Schizosaccharomyces pombe: one gene and its partners. Changing the gene in region 1 together with any one later gene gives a genetic interaction. Each region holds a gene or a part of one and is shown in the gene's direction. Other genes may lie near its edges.

What was found. Genes that interact genetically often act in the same process or in processes that back each other up.
Region 2: mutations in tim13 (region 1) and cph1 together harm fitness more than expected from each alone (negative genetic interaction), as found in Schizosaccharomyces pombe (2 studies listed by BioGRID).
Region 3: mutations in tim13 (region 1) and reb1 together harm fitness more than expected from each alone (negative genetic interaction), as found in Schizosaccharomyces pombe (2 studies listed by BioGRID).

The regions. Positions count from the first base shown.
Region 1 is NC_003424.3:4,482,266-4,486,545, forward strand, and holds tim13 (TIM22 inner membrane protein import complex subunit Tim13), read left to right. Parts: upstream 1-1,725; 5' UTR 1,726-1,812; coding exon 1,813-1,929; intron 1,930-1,987; coding exon 1,988-2,056; intron 2,057-2,099; coding exon 2,100-2,201; 3' UTR 2,202-2,392; downstream 2,393-4,280. Other genes in the region: G-protein-coupled receptor Stm1, read right to left, coding at 1-510; endodeoxyribonuclease Pnu1, read right to left, coding at 2,570-3,009, 3,085-3,331, 3,448-3,729. UniProt on the Schizosaccharomyces pombe protein: Mitochondrial intermembrane chaperone that participates in the import and insertion of some multi-pass transmembrane proteins into the mitochondrial inner membrane.
Region 2 is NC_003424.3:797,594-801,481, forward strand, and holds cph1 (Clr6 histone deacetylase-associated PHD protein-1 Cph1), read left to right. Parts: upstream 1-1,773; 5' UTR 1,774-1,956; coding exon 1,957-3,171; 3' UTR 3,172-3,388; downstream 3,389-3,888. Other genes in the region: CCR4-Not complex subunit Mot2, read right to left, coding at 1-636, 725-904, 955-1,007; ATP-dependent RNA helicase Upf1, read right to left, coding at 3,717-3,888.
Region 3 is NC_003423.3:191,252-195,536, reverse strand, and holds reb1 (RNA polymerase I transcription termination factor/ RNA polymerase II transcription factor Reb1), read left to right. Parts: upstream 1-1,927; 5' UTR 1,928-1,994; coding exon 1,995-2,971; exon of another isoform or gene 2,972-3,012; coding exon 3,013-3,339; intron 3,340-3,390; coding exon 3,391-3,601; 3' UTR 3,602-3,785; downstream 3,786-4,285. Other genes in the region: ubiquitin ligase Mfr1, read right to left, coding at 1-692, 739-859; asparagine--tRNA (Asn) ligase Slm5, read left to right, coding at 3,861-4,048, 4,123-4,249.

The DNA.
Region 1 (4,280 bases):
ACTCTTGTCAGAAGAGGCACTAGAAATAATTAAGTTTCCAACGATTGTCGAGACAATAACCACACATCCCATTACACCAAATTGTTGACGGGTAGAAAGGCGATCCCACCAAATTTGTTGTTTACCAATGGGTGCATGAAGACCTTCTTCTAATGAACGACTTTGGAGTAAGGGTTCGTGTTCACGACTGGCAATACGACGGGCAGCTTTCCAACGATAGTAGTAAATTTGCATAAGTAGGGTACTGTCAGAGACAATGTAATAAAATGAGAGAACCAATACAGTAGAAGAGACATTTCCGTAAATGGAACCAAGTACATTGAAGAAATCGCCAATAAGCCAGATGATTAAAAATAAATCAGAGATACTTTCACCAGACTGGTTTTTATAATTTTCAAGTAATTGAGGGATCAGTAAAACGACCCAACATCCCAGGGATAATGCTCCTAAAAATGAAGACAACTCCGTGAGTATGTTAGCCATATCAAAAGAAGGAGCTATCACAGACATGGGACAAAAATGCTTGCGAACAGATAATTTTAAAATGAATTTGAGAAGAGCTTGTCTAAGCTTTTTATGGTCAAAGTTTTTTATATGAGTGTGGAGGACAATAAATAAAAAGAACGGGAAACAAAGGGCTACAAAAGCGAAGCAACCTGAAAGGGAAATCAAACTATTAATTTAATAGGAATGATAAGCAATTATTAAAATTTGTCAACTTCCTCGAACGTGTAATGCTTCAGCACTATAATATTCGCTGATTTATTTTAGCGATCCAAGAGATGATACTTAATGAAAATTCGTTACAAGTATTTTTTTTTGTTTTAAAAAATAAACACTAAAAGGAATATCTATAATAATAATAATAACAATGGTAAACAATATTTCTCCCACTGTAAAGAAACAGAAGAGATTTGGTGGTGAGTTTGGCTCTGGATAAGATCAACCTCCCAGCCGTCCTGTTATTTATTTACCTCGGGCAAGGCTATATAGAGATTTCAAGATAAGAAAAATTTGCCGCCCATGCAGTTTCGCAGAATTAAGAAAGTGTCCGTGGATTTACAGATACAATTGATAGTCAATCCAAAGGTATCATTCTAAAGAAATATAAAGGAATAGTAAGCGAAATAGATTTTCCTTCGAATAATCCTATTTCACTTAACAATATAATTCTCAATGTAAATAACAGTCGCATTAATTTTATCAATGTCAAGCTAACTCGTTTTTGTTATAAAATTTAATACACCATAATATCGCTAGCAGTATTAAACATTGAAATGTTTACGTGACTTGTTTGATTCTCAGATTATTTGCAGTAAAAGATGTGCTAATTCCATGATTTAATTTCGAGACTATAAAACTCTATAAAAATTTCTTACAAATTGGGATTTTTATTTTTTTTTCTAAACAAGGGTAATGAAAAGTCATGAACGATTCATTTCGTATATTAAAATATTAAAAATAATAATAATAAAAAAACGCTGAAAAAACTTTTATTTCTAAACTCACCAAAAGGACCCGAATAGTATATCTATCCATTAGTTTAGAAATATTTTATTAAATCTTTTTTTTTTATACCAAGTAGAAAACAAAACAAAGATTGCTGTCTGGTTGTATCGCATATGTCAGCATATTAGAAAATCCATTTTCTATTAACGAAGTCTAATTGGTGATGATGGCCGGTTTCTGAATTAGTCTCCCTAAGTACACCGTTTGGTACTTTCCACGAACGTACCATTTCCTCATTAATTTTCCTTGTAAAGGAGTAAAAATTATCCACATTCATAAGTTTTAACGTTATACTTAAACAAAATGGGCATTTTCGGTGGAAATAGTGGAAATGCACCTTCTTCTGAAGACAAAAAATCCATTTTCATGAAACAAATTCGTCAGGAACTTGCTGTTGCTCAAGCTGGCGAATTGATAAGTGTATGCTCCATTCATTTTTTATGTTTTATTGAATGTTTTAACTAATCGGTTTATCTAGAAAATCAATGAGAACTGTTTTGATAAATGTATCCCGGAGCCTGGTTCCACATTCGATCCCAATGAAAAGGTATGAGAACTATTAAAATACTTTTATTCTAACTAGACAAAAGTCTTGCGTTTCCAAATGTATGGAACGCTATATGGATGCTTGGAACATTGTTTCTCGAACCTATATCTCTCGTATGCAACGAGAGCAGAAAAATCTCAACTGAATAATAATGATTTTTTTTTCTATCATTTTGTTTTACTCTCCTATGATATGTGTCTTGTTGTATAGTTGTGAAGTGACGGCAAAGCTTAATATGCAACGTAGAAATTTTTCTTTTCAACGTAGCTCACGCGCTTTCTCTCTAATAATTATAAACTTTCAGCAATTAAAATTCGTTTCATGTTCTTTTCCTAATCATGCTAAACACTTACAAGTGTTGTTATACTACTGGGTAAAATACTTATAATTGTTTCTTTGACATGTAGCATTTAAGTATTATTGTGTAAATAACAGTTTAAATATTTTCATAATAAAGAACGATCACCGGAAAAACTAGAAAAACTAGAGATTCATTAAATTTCCTTATTCTTATCATTTACCTTGATTCTTTTGTTTTTGTTTAACTGATTCAACAAACTCCTTAACATTTAACTGACACACCACTTCACTGCAAAGTTGTTTTCGGTTACCCTTGGGTACGTTTGATAAGATCTCTAATCCGCTTGCTCGTTCCACAACCTCAACGGGAACTGCAAAGTTCTTTAACGGAAAGTTGTCAGCAATAGGTTTGTTGGGAAGAACGAATGCAGCTACTGATGGACTTGAGGTAGGCTCTCCTGATTTTTCTGCAATGATTACTTTAAAAAAATGAGTAGGAACTGCGACGTTGGGAGGATTGCCAATTACTCGATACTGAACTTCCCATTGTCCACGTTCATTTTTTTTAGGTAAATACAGCGGTCCCGTCATTATGGTAACTGAGCCGTATTTACTTGTAAGGCGTCGACACCAATCTTCAAAGTATGCCCAATCTAATTGTTATAGTTAGTAACTAGTCAAATTTATTAATGTATTAAAAGAAAAAGTCTCGTTAAGTTTTTGCTTACAGTTTCTATTGAAACCATCTCCCACTTGTGGACACATATTAGAAAGATAGAAAGTTTCGTTCATTGCTTCCTGACTAAATTTACAATCTGCTGCAGGTACTTGATGACCACGATCATAACCGCTTCCTCTGTAATCTCCTAACTTTGCTTGAAACATTTCAGGAATATTATCATCTGGAACGAACTCAGAGTACCTGCGATTGCCTTTGCGTTGGTTCAACGATTCTTGTGTAATGGTTTCCGCTGTCTAGTTTATTATTAATATAATGCACTCCGAGAGACCAGAAATTTAAACATTTAATCTATTGCCGTGATCTATAATTCCTAGGTAAAGAAAGCTTAGGAAACGGTGTTTTTGCTTACATAGAATGGATTTCGTGTTCTCCGATCGAACACAGACATATAGCCATGGTTTACCCTTTGGTCTGCCACTGGTCCTGGTATGCCGTATTGAAAAAATTTGGTGGCATTAAAATCATATATAGATTCTAAGGCTCGACCAGCAGAGTCAAATTTGGTATACCTGGGTGTCAAGTCTGGTACATCGGATCCTTGATATCCTTTATAATAAAAATGCGTGAAAGTTACACCCGAGATCGCTCCAATTGCTATTAATCCAAAAGATTTGATAAGATTACTAGACATATCGTCGATTGGGAATTAAAAGAAGTGGGAGTGTAGGTAAAGAGAAGATTGGAATATTCACTGCGTGTGAGTTTTTAAATAATTGGGAGTTATCGTTATGGCCAAGAAGAATATTAAAAATATATTGTTAAACATTAATTTTACGAGGTTTCTGAAGTAAGAAAAATTTAACTCTTTACGATTAATAATACAACATTAAATATAAAAGTCAATTAAGTGATTCATTTGTGGATGTTTAGAATGTATAATTCCAAATTCACGCTTATTATCAAGAAAAAGTGTTAGTAAATCTATTAATTTTAAAAATATATAATTCCAATTTTAGGAAACAACAGTATGTTAAAAAAAAAACGACTTTTTGACAGGGACTATTAATTTAAGAAAAACATCTACAGAGATCTAAGATTTCATCTACTGACAAAACATTTTGTTTATGGAACCAACACAACATGAAAATGACCTTGTATTTCCATTTCATCTGTGCTAAATCAAGCTTAAAAACAGAATCGCTTTTCTTATTCGAGTTGGAACCTTTGTTTTTTTATGGCACA
Region 2 (3,888 bases), 3.7 Mb from region 1:
TGATTTTGTGCAGCTGGACTACTATTAGCCTCTTCTAACGGTGTTTTCGTAACAGGAAGTAGAGGTGTTTTGAATGGAAGAGAAGGAGAAGGAGAATGAGTAGCACCATTTACCACATTAGGTTTAGTGGAAAGAGGACGGGTATGTTGAAGAGATGCCAAGTCTTCTTTAGTATAACTATCCACCTCGTCACCGGGTTCATGTAAATACATGCAAGAAGGATTGGGGCATTGCTGATTCCGTAAATAAGAAGTGCAATATTTAGTGGTACCATAAGATGCGCGAAGATGTCGCCCATCACTTACGCTGCCATCAATTGCAGCAATCGCTCGTGCAGCATCTTCTTTTCTTTGGTATGTAATATAAACTCCAACATGACCATTTGCAGAATTTGCAGCAGCCTTCTTATTTATTGCAATTTTAATAATCTTTCCGTATTGACCAAAGTATTCAGGTCCCTTCAGAACGTTGATATTCTCCTCATTTGCAACTTTGGGAGAAAGGCCGTTTACATAGGCAAGGTTCTTTTGTACAACACGAATATTTGCAAGATGCTTCCTGTTTGAAAGCTCGACTTCCTTCCTCTCTTTCTCGCGTTTCTTCCTCTCGTTTTTTCGATGTAAGTCCATCTTCCATCTAAAAACATTAGCGACATGTTTAAAAATAAAAGTGAATTTAAACAAGATTATGCTTAAACAAGAATTCTATAATCTGAATTACATACTCCTCTGCCGTGACAGGCCGCCATTGAACATTTTCTTCAGTGTACAGACGGCGACATGCAGGACAACGGCCATTTAGATCTTCTTTGATATGGTGCCAGCAAAATCTACAAACTCTGTATCCGCATTGGCATGGTTTGAAGTTTTTATCAGAGATATCAATTTCTTCCATACATAGAGGACTGTTGCAATTGTCAGTTAATTTTGATACTAATCGGCTAGTAAAACATACCAACACATGTCATCCTCATCTTCTGAAGAATATATCTCTTGCGTTTTTAACATTTTGTGTGAAATATGTCAAATCTCCGTCACAGTGCTCTCCAAATCGATACTGTTTAAGGTCGCTCGTTATACAATACAGAGGAAGTCTTCAAATATCTTAAATCAAATCTTTGATTTTAATTTAATTTAGTTAATTCCCTTAATATTCATTAGACTTCAAACAAATATTTTTTAAAGGGCAAACCGAGTTGTGGTTGGTTATAAGTTTACTTACAACTTAGTGTAAAAGAAGGAGGCAATGACTAGGTGAGAGGTTGGATTTGAACAGTATATACCACACGAAAAATAGCAATTAATAGACATGAATTAAGAAATTTGAGAAAATTCTTATTCCAAAGGTTTTTGGAATTGTGTTTGAACAACAAAAAGTACCCTTAAAAGTTTCACCGTCTATAATTTCATCTTGATAATTAATTGCAGTAAACGTTTGTAAACGAATGTATTATATATACAACTTTTTCACGTTGTGGTCAAATTCTTTAGTTATTTCATCTTCTAAGTAATTAGTGAATATATTGAATTGACGAAAAAACGATGAACAACATAATAAGAGGCATAAAGTGCTTCTCTACTTAATTTACGCTCCATGTTCCATCAAATGGATAATAGTTTTTAACAAAATGTTCAAATATTTTACATATAGAAGGGAATTTATTCTTATGATAATCATTTATACTAAATGCTCCTCTCGAAAATCAGATATCTTTAAGTAGTTTTCTAAGTCTAATTGCAACGACGTTTGGCGTTCAAAGACTTGTTGTAACTTAGCATCTTCATAACAGCGTTGCTTCACTATAATATACTTACAACCTCGACCATTGTTCTTTTTTACGATAACCATTAATTTTACCTTTAATATTCCTTAAAACATTAAGGATAGTATTGATATTTCTAAGTGCTAACCGTCGCGTATTACATGTTGCTTTGCTCATAGCATGGGAAGTATCTAATGGCATCCTCTATAAACAATTCATCTCAACCTACAGTACCTTCAATTTCTAATAATAGTCATGGCGACTCTTTCGTAAATGAAGGTCCCCCTTCTAATTTTAAAAATAATTCTTTAACATCATCAACTCACTCTTCAACTGACCATGTAAATGTCTTGCCAATTAGCCAAGACAAAGAGATGGATATAAGTTCTCCAGTGAAAAAACAAAAAGCTAGTTATTCGAATAAATCTCCAAATAAAGCACCTATTCAAAAAAGCCGGGGTAGTTCCCTAAAAAGTCATCTCGAAACCGAATCTCAACAAACTCCTGTAAAGCGACGGAGACGAAAAGCGACTATACGCAACGTCGACTATTGTAGTGCATGCGGAGGAAGAGGTCTTTTTATTTGTTGCGAGGGATGTCCTTGCAGTTTCCATCTTTCATGCTTGGAACCTCCCTTGACTCCTGAAAATATTCCAGAAGGATCTTGGTTTTGTGTGACTTGCTCAATCAAATCGCATCACCCTCCTAAGCACCCTCTTAGTATATGGTCCCAGCTTTACGATTGGATTGATTCTCAGAATCCCTCGCAGTACCGATTGCCCGACGACCTTGTGCATTATTTCCATGGAATATCTCGTGGGGATACAGGTGCTTATAAGGAAACTGAAGGAGAAATGGATACTGACGAGTTTTCTGCTTTGCCGACTGGCTCCTCTATCACTAATCTAGCTTACTGTGGTTATTGCTCTAAGCCATCAATGGGTGCTTGTTGGGTCTATGGTTGCCAGCTGTGTGACACCTTCTATCATAAAAATTGTAAAGAGCATGCTAAAAAATGCTCTCATGACTCCATTGGAAAAAAAGGTATGAGAGTACCAAAAAACGCCGTGGTGATAAGGACGCCCTTGGTGTTGGATACAACTTCTAATACTCTTAATCCTAAAGTCATGATTTCAGGATGGCAATTTCTTATGGGAGAGTTTCCAAGTGATGAACTTCTCTATTTCCCAAGATTACCCGTGAGTTGTCTCTACAAAGTTTCAGAAGACGGTCTCATCAAAGATTTTTTGTACGCGATTGGCATAGAAGCTAAAAAGTTTAATAATGAAAGGAAAAAACGAGAGTTAGAGGTTATTCCTCCAGACGTAAAAAGCGCACTACTTCCTGCGAGAACGCACCCAAACCTACCTATTGCACTACGCACTTTATTCAATAAGGCACGCACTTGAATTTTTACGATATTTTTACATTTTGTATAAAATCAGACTACGTTAATCTAATCTGTCGTGTTCAAATCGTCAGAAAAGGTTGTTTTCTGTTATTTTTTTGCTAATGTTGTATTTATAAAACCTCTTAGAACTGGCTATCTGTTGTAATTGGCTTATTTTACATTACTTTTCTCCATTAAGGCTTTTAAAAAATTTTCGTTATGCAATTAATCATTGCAAATCCTTCCTAATAGGGCAAAAGTTCTATTTTATACTAACAACTTCTCAATACTTAAATTTTATACGCGTATTGTACCGTGTGAGTATATATAAGTATATATAAGTATATATAAGTATATATGAGTAAGATGCATTTACTAGACAAAGAGGAATAAAATAAAAGAAAGTGATAAGGAAAGGTTCTATTACTAAAGTCTATTTAACAGCCATATCAATGGTTTAAAACGCTTACAGACCAAACGGTCCATAAAACTTGAACACCAAAAATATCAACAAATAAAAGATATGTTGGCATTCGTAATTACAAGTAAGCAAATACTTATTAACTAGAACCTAGTAGGTTCGTCGAACTTGCTTTCATCATCACCAACCTGACTTCTAAAGTCTTCAAAGTCGGTAGCGTTGCTTTCTCTTCGTTTGTATTGAGCAAAGACATTCCATTCTTCAAGATACGAGGAAGAGTATAAGTTCGGAAGATTAGAAAACGAAGGTAACATG
Region 3 (4,285 bases), on another chromosome or scaffold:
ATTGTCATTCCCTCCTGAAGCAAGCTGTCCTAGACTTCTATCCCATTGCAATCCGCATATTTCTTGTTCATGAACTTTCATCATTTCGGCACAGCAACCTGGTGCTCTTAGGTCATGATGTAAAATTACTTCGTCTTTGCCTCCACTTGTGAGGGTATTATCGTTCCATGCTAATGCTGCCACCCTTTCGGAGTGACCTTTTAAAGATCTGACTGATTTCGTAGACTCGATATCCCAGATGTAAATTACTCCTGAATCTGTCCCTACAGCTAATTGAGTTCCTTTACCTGTCCATAAGACGCTTGTGACATGATTTGTTGCTCCGAAATCATGTAATTGAACCACTTTACCACTTGCTGCTGACCAGAGATAAATGCTGCTTGCTAGTCCGACTGCCAAGACATTAGATTGGCCCCAGTCAAGCAAGTTTAAATAAAAGTCATTTTTTAAGTAAGGTGCATCCAAGATTTTATATGGAGTTTTTGGAAAAGCTCTTTTGGGCTTTTGTGGTTGCCGCAACATATCTTGAGATTGCGGTGAAATAGGAGATAGAGAATATGATTTTCTATCAGGTGTATCCAACATTTTCTTCTCAATTTTCCTTTTGTCTTCTCCATAATAGAAGGCTCTAGAGCGAGATGCTTGTGAACCGAAGAGCTCCATGCTTAGTAGCTCCATGAATTGCCTTTGAACTGCTGTCGTTAGTAATGGGAATATAAAACTAAAAAAGGTACATACTAGTGCCAGAGGTTTTGCGCCTAAGATTTGATCCATGGCTTAACACACATTCTTTGAATGACTGGAAACTAAAGTTGAACTCATTGCTAACGTTGCGAATGGGAATGAATCGGTCTCCCATTGTCAACCAATTCTTTATAAGTTGAAGTTAGTCGGGATGGAAGGGAAATGTTGAGATTCCTATTTCGTGAATAAATACCTTCCATGCTTTATTTGTTTTTACTGAGTGCTTTTTTCTGCCCGTCTGCAAGACATTGCTACAGAATTATGAAACCAGGTGGCTTGAAAAAATGCTAATTATGAGCTATAATGACTGCAGTAAACAAACATTTGCTAAATACTCTGTATAACTGCTAAAAATAAAGCTATCCTGTGATCGCCGTATTACCTAATGCTACCGTTTAAACTAAACAAATGCACTCATCAAAACAAACTGTTGATAAAAAATATCTCAATAACAATATTATAGTCATCAACCAGCAAAAGGTGATGTTATGGTAAGAGAACTCCTAAAATATGATGTTCATAGAAAAACAACAACAATGATCAGTTGACCACGATGTGCCAAACCCATTGTTTTCTGAATGTTTATTATGATCATCAGATCCCGGTCTTGTAAACTTATTGCCAAGAACCCAATTTCTTCAAAATGTTCAATTAATTAAACATTTATTTTAGTTGTTTTGTAACAGAGTAAATAGTGCTATAGATTCGTTCAAAAAAATTCCAACTACTATCGAATGCAAATACTTTTTACCATGTATGTGAGTACAAAAAAAATTTTCTCCTCATTCTCATTTCAATTGATTTATTCCTAACTATTTCTGTATTTCTTTTGGGATATTCATTTTTAAAGACAAATCTTCGTATGCTACTAATTTTTCCAATTAAATACTATTGGTATATTTCTGCATTTCTTGTTTATTTGATTAATAGTACAATTTCATATTTTAGGACGATAATAAATATGAGTTTTTTTGTACTAAGTGGTAAGCAAAAACAACATTTTTTGTATATCATTAATGTTTTCGTTGTACTACTTAGCATTGCCTATAAGGAAATGCAGCGTGTCGATATATCCCTTAATAACAAACCATCTTTATTTCAGATTTACACTCCTCAGTTTGTGTCCCACCCTTCCTAAATCGCTGTGCTAGCAAACTGCGAATTAAAGCTCACGAAGCGTTTTGTACGATATTAGCGATTGATAAGTTGAAGTGATTACTCAATTATAGTACTTCAAAAATATAATCTTTATGGATACCTCCGTATTAAATCCGGAACTTCAGATTCATGGATTTATTGGCGTGGATTCTTTGCAATCATCAAGGAAACGAAAGAATGATTTTGATGATTTTCCACTTAACAAAGGATTGAAAACAAATAACAATGACTATTCTGGATCAATAGAGCCTAAGTTTTCTCCCGCGTTAAGCATTAAAGAAGATGGTAAAAATGATCGCAATTTCGAGGCCTTAATGTCTCTTCAAGCCCAAGACTCCAACCTTTCTGAACAAAATACATCCATTCATTTGGATGCTTTAGCCTCCTCTTCTATAGCTTTAGGAAATGATAATGTGGATTCGAGCGCCTTCTTGTCAAAAGTTAACAAAGGTGTGAATGCCATGAGAAACTCTACTTCGAATCAAACAAATGATTCTATTTTAATAAGCCCTTCGGAAATTACCAATATGGATCCATTTTTGAAAGGTAGTGCTAGATGGACTGCGGAACATTGGGACTATTTAGAACGACGAATGCAAAACTTCTGTCAAACCTATTCATTAGACCATACACAGGTAGCCGATTCTCTACACGAAAAAAGACTTCACGGGCCACTCTCTTCTTTAGTTAAATTATTGGTTCAAGAAATGCCTAGTTTTACCAGAAGAACAATATTACGGCACCTCCGGGCCCTTTACAACATCCCAGGTTATGAGAAATATAGTAGAAAAAATTCTTCTGGAAGAGGGGATTTCGGGGTCCAGGAAACTGCCATTATTTCCCAAGAAGTACATAATTTTATTATGGATCAAGGATGGTCCGAGTATCAATTTTGCAATCAAATTTGGGCAGGAAAATGTCCAAAAACAATCAGAATGTTTTACTCTAATTTATATAAAAAGCTTTCCCATCGTGATGCCAAGAGTATTTATCACCATGTACGACGTGCATATAACCCGTTTGAAGATCGCTGTGTGTGGAGCAAAGAAGAAGATGAAGAATTAAGAAAGTATGTGTTTATATTTTTATTCAAAAATCATTAACGTTTAGAAATGTTGTTGAACATGGTAAATGCTGGACGAAAATTGGTCGTAAAATGGCTCGAATGCCTAATGATTGTCGTGATCGTTGGCGCGACGTAGTACGTTTTGGCGATAAATTGAAACGAAATGCTTGGTCGTTGGAAGAGGAAACTCAGTTATTGCAAATAGTTGCTGAACTCCGTAACCGTGAAGACTTAAGTTCTGACATTAATTGGACGCTTGTTGCCCAAATGTTAGGTACTAGGACTCGTTTACAGTGTCGTTATAAATTTCAGCAATTGACGAAGGCTGCTTCAAAATTTGAACTTCAAGAAAACGTTTGGCTCTTAGAAAGGTAAGTATTGACCTACATAATTTCTCTTGCTTGCTAATATTTTAATTTAAGGATTTACGACTCGTTATTGAACAATGGTGGTAAAATTCATTGGGAAAATATCGTAAAAGAAGCTAATGGACGATGGACACGCGATCAGATGTTGTTTCAATTTATAAATTTGAAAAAAATGATACCAAGTTACGACAATCTTCCTCTTCTAGAAGCCACGAAGTCAGCCATTGATGACTTTAAAGTGGTACTTTCTGGATTCTCCAATTGACGTCCTTACAATTTTTTGAACGAAAAAATTTGTTTTAACTTACTTAAGTAACTTTGTATCTTTTTACAAGTCCTTATTAAAATGACTTAATTCTTAACGCAACACCTTCATACTGAGGATATGTAAAGTCGCCTTACTACTACCGCTCTTTGCATTTCTAGTTATTGGCGAATAGTTTTTGGAAGAATTCATAATTTCCTTAGCAATAGAGGATTTTTTGTAAATTAATAATTAAAATTGAATTGTTTGCTAATTCCGTATGAATAAATTCCAACTACCAAAAACTTTAAAGTCTTTATGGCATCACCCACATAATGGAGAGTTAATAAGCATAAACGGCTGGGTACGATCTATCCGAAAACTAAAAAATGTTTGTTTTGCCATGGTTTCTGATGGTACATGTCAACAAGCCCTTCAAGTGGTGACTTCGCCTGAACAGAGTAAGAAGTATGGTTGAGGAGGAGACATAAAATCTAAATTATATGATATCTTTTTCCTACTAACATTAATTTATTATCAAGGCTATCATATGGTGCTAGTGTGAATATTGAAGGCCAGTTGGCAGTTTCTAAAAACGCAAAACTTGGATTGCAGCAGTATGAACTGTTGGCTGAGAAAATAAAAATTTACGGCCAGATAAATGATGATGTATGTGCTTTCAAAATTGAATATACTGCAAGTCTA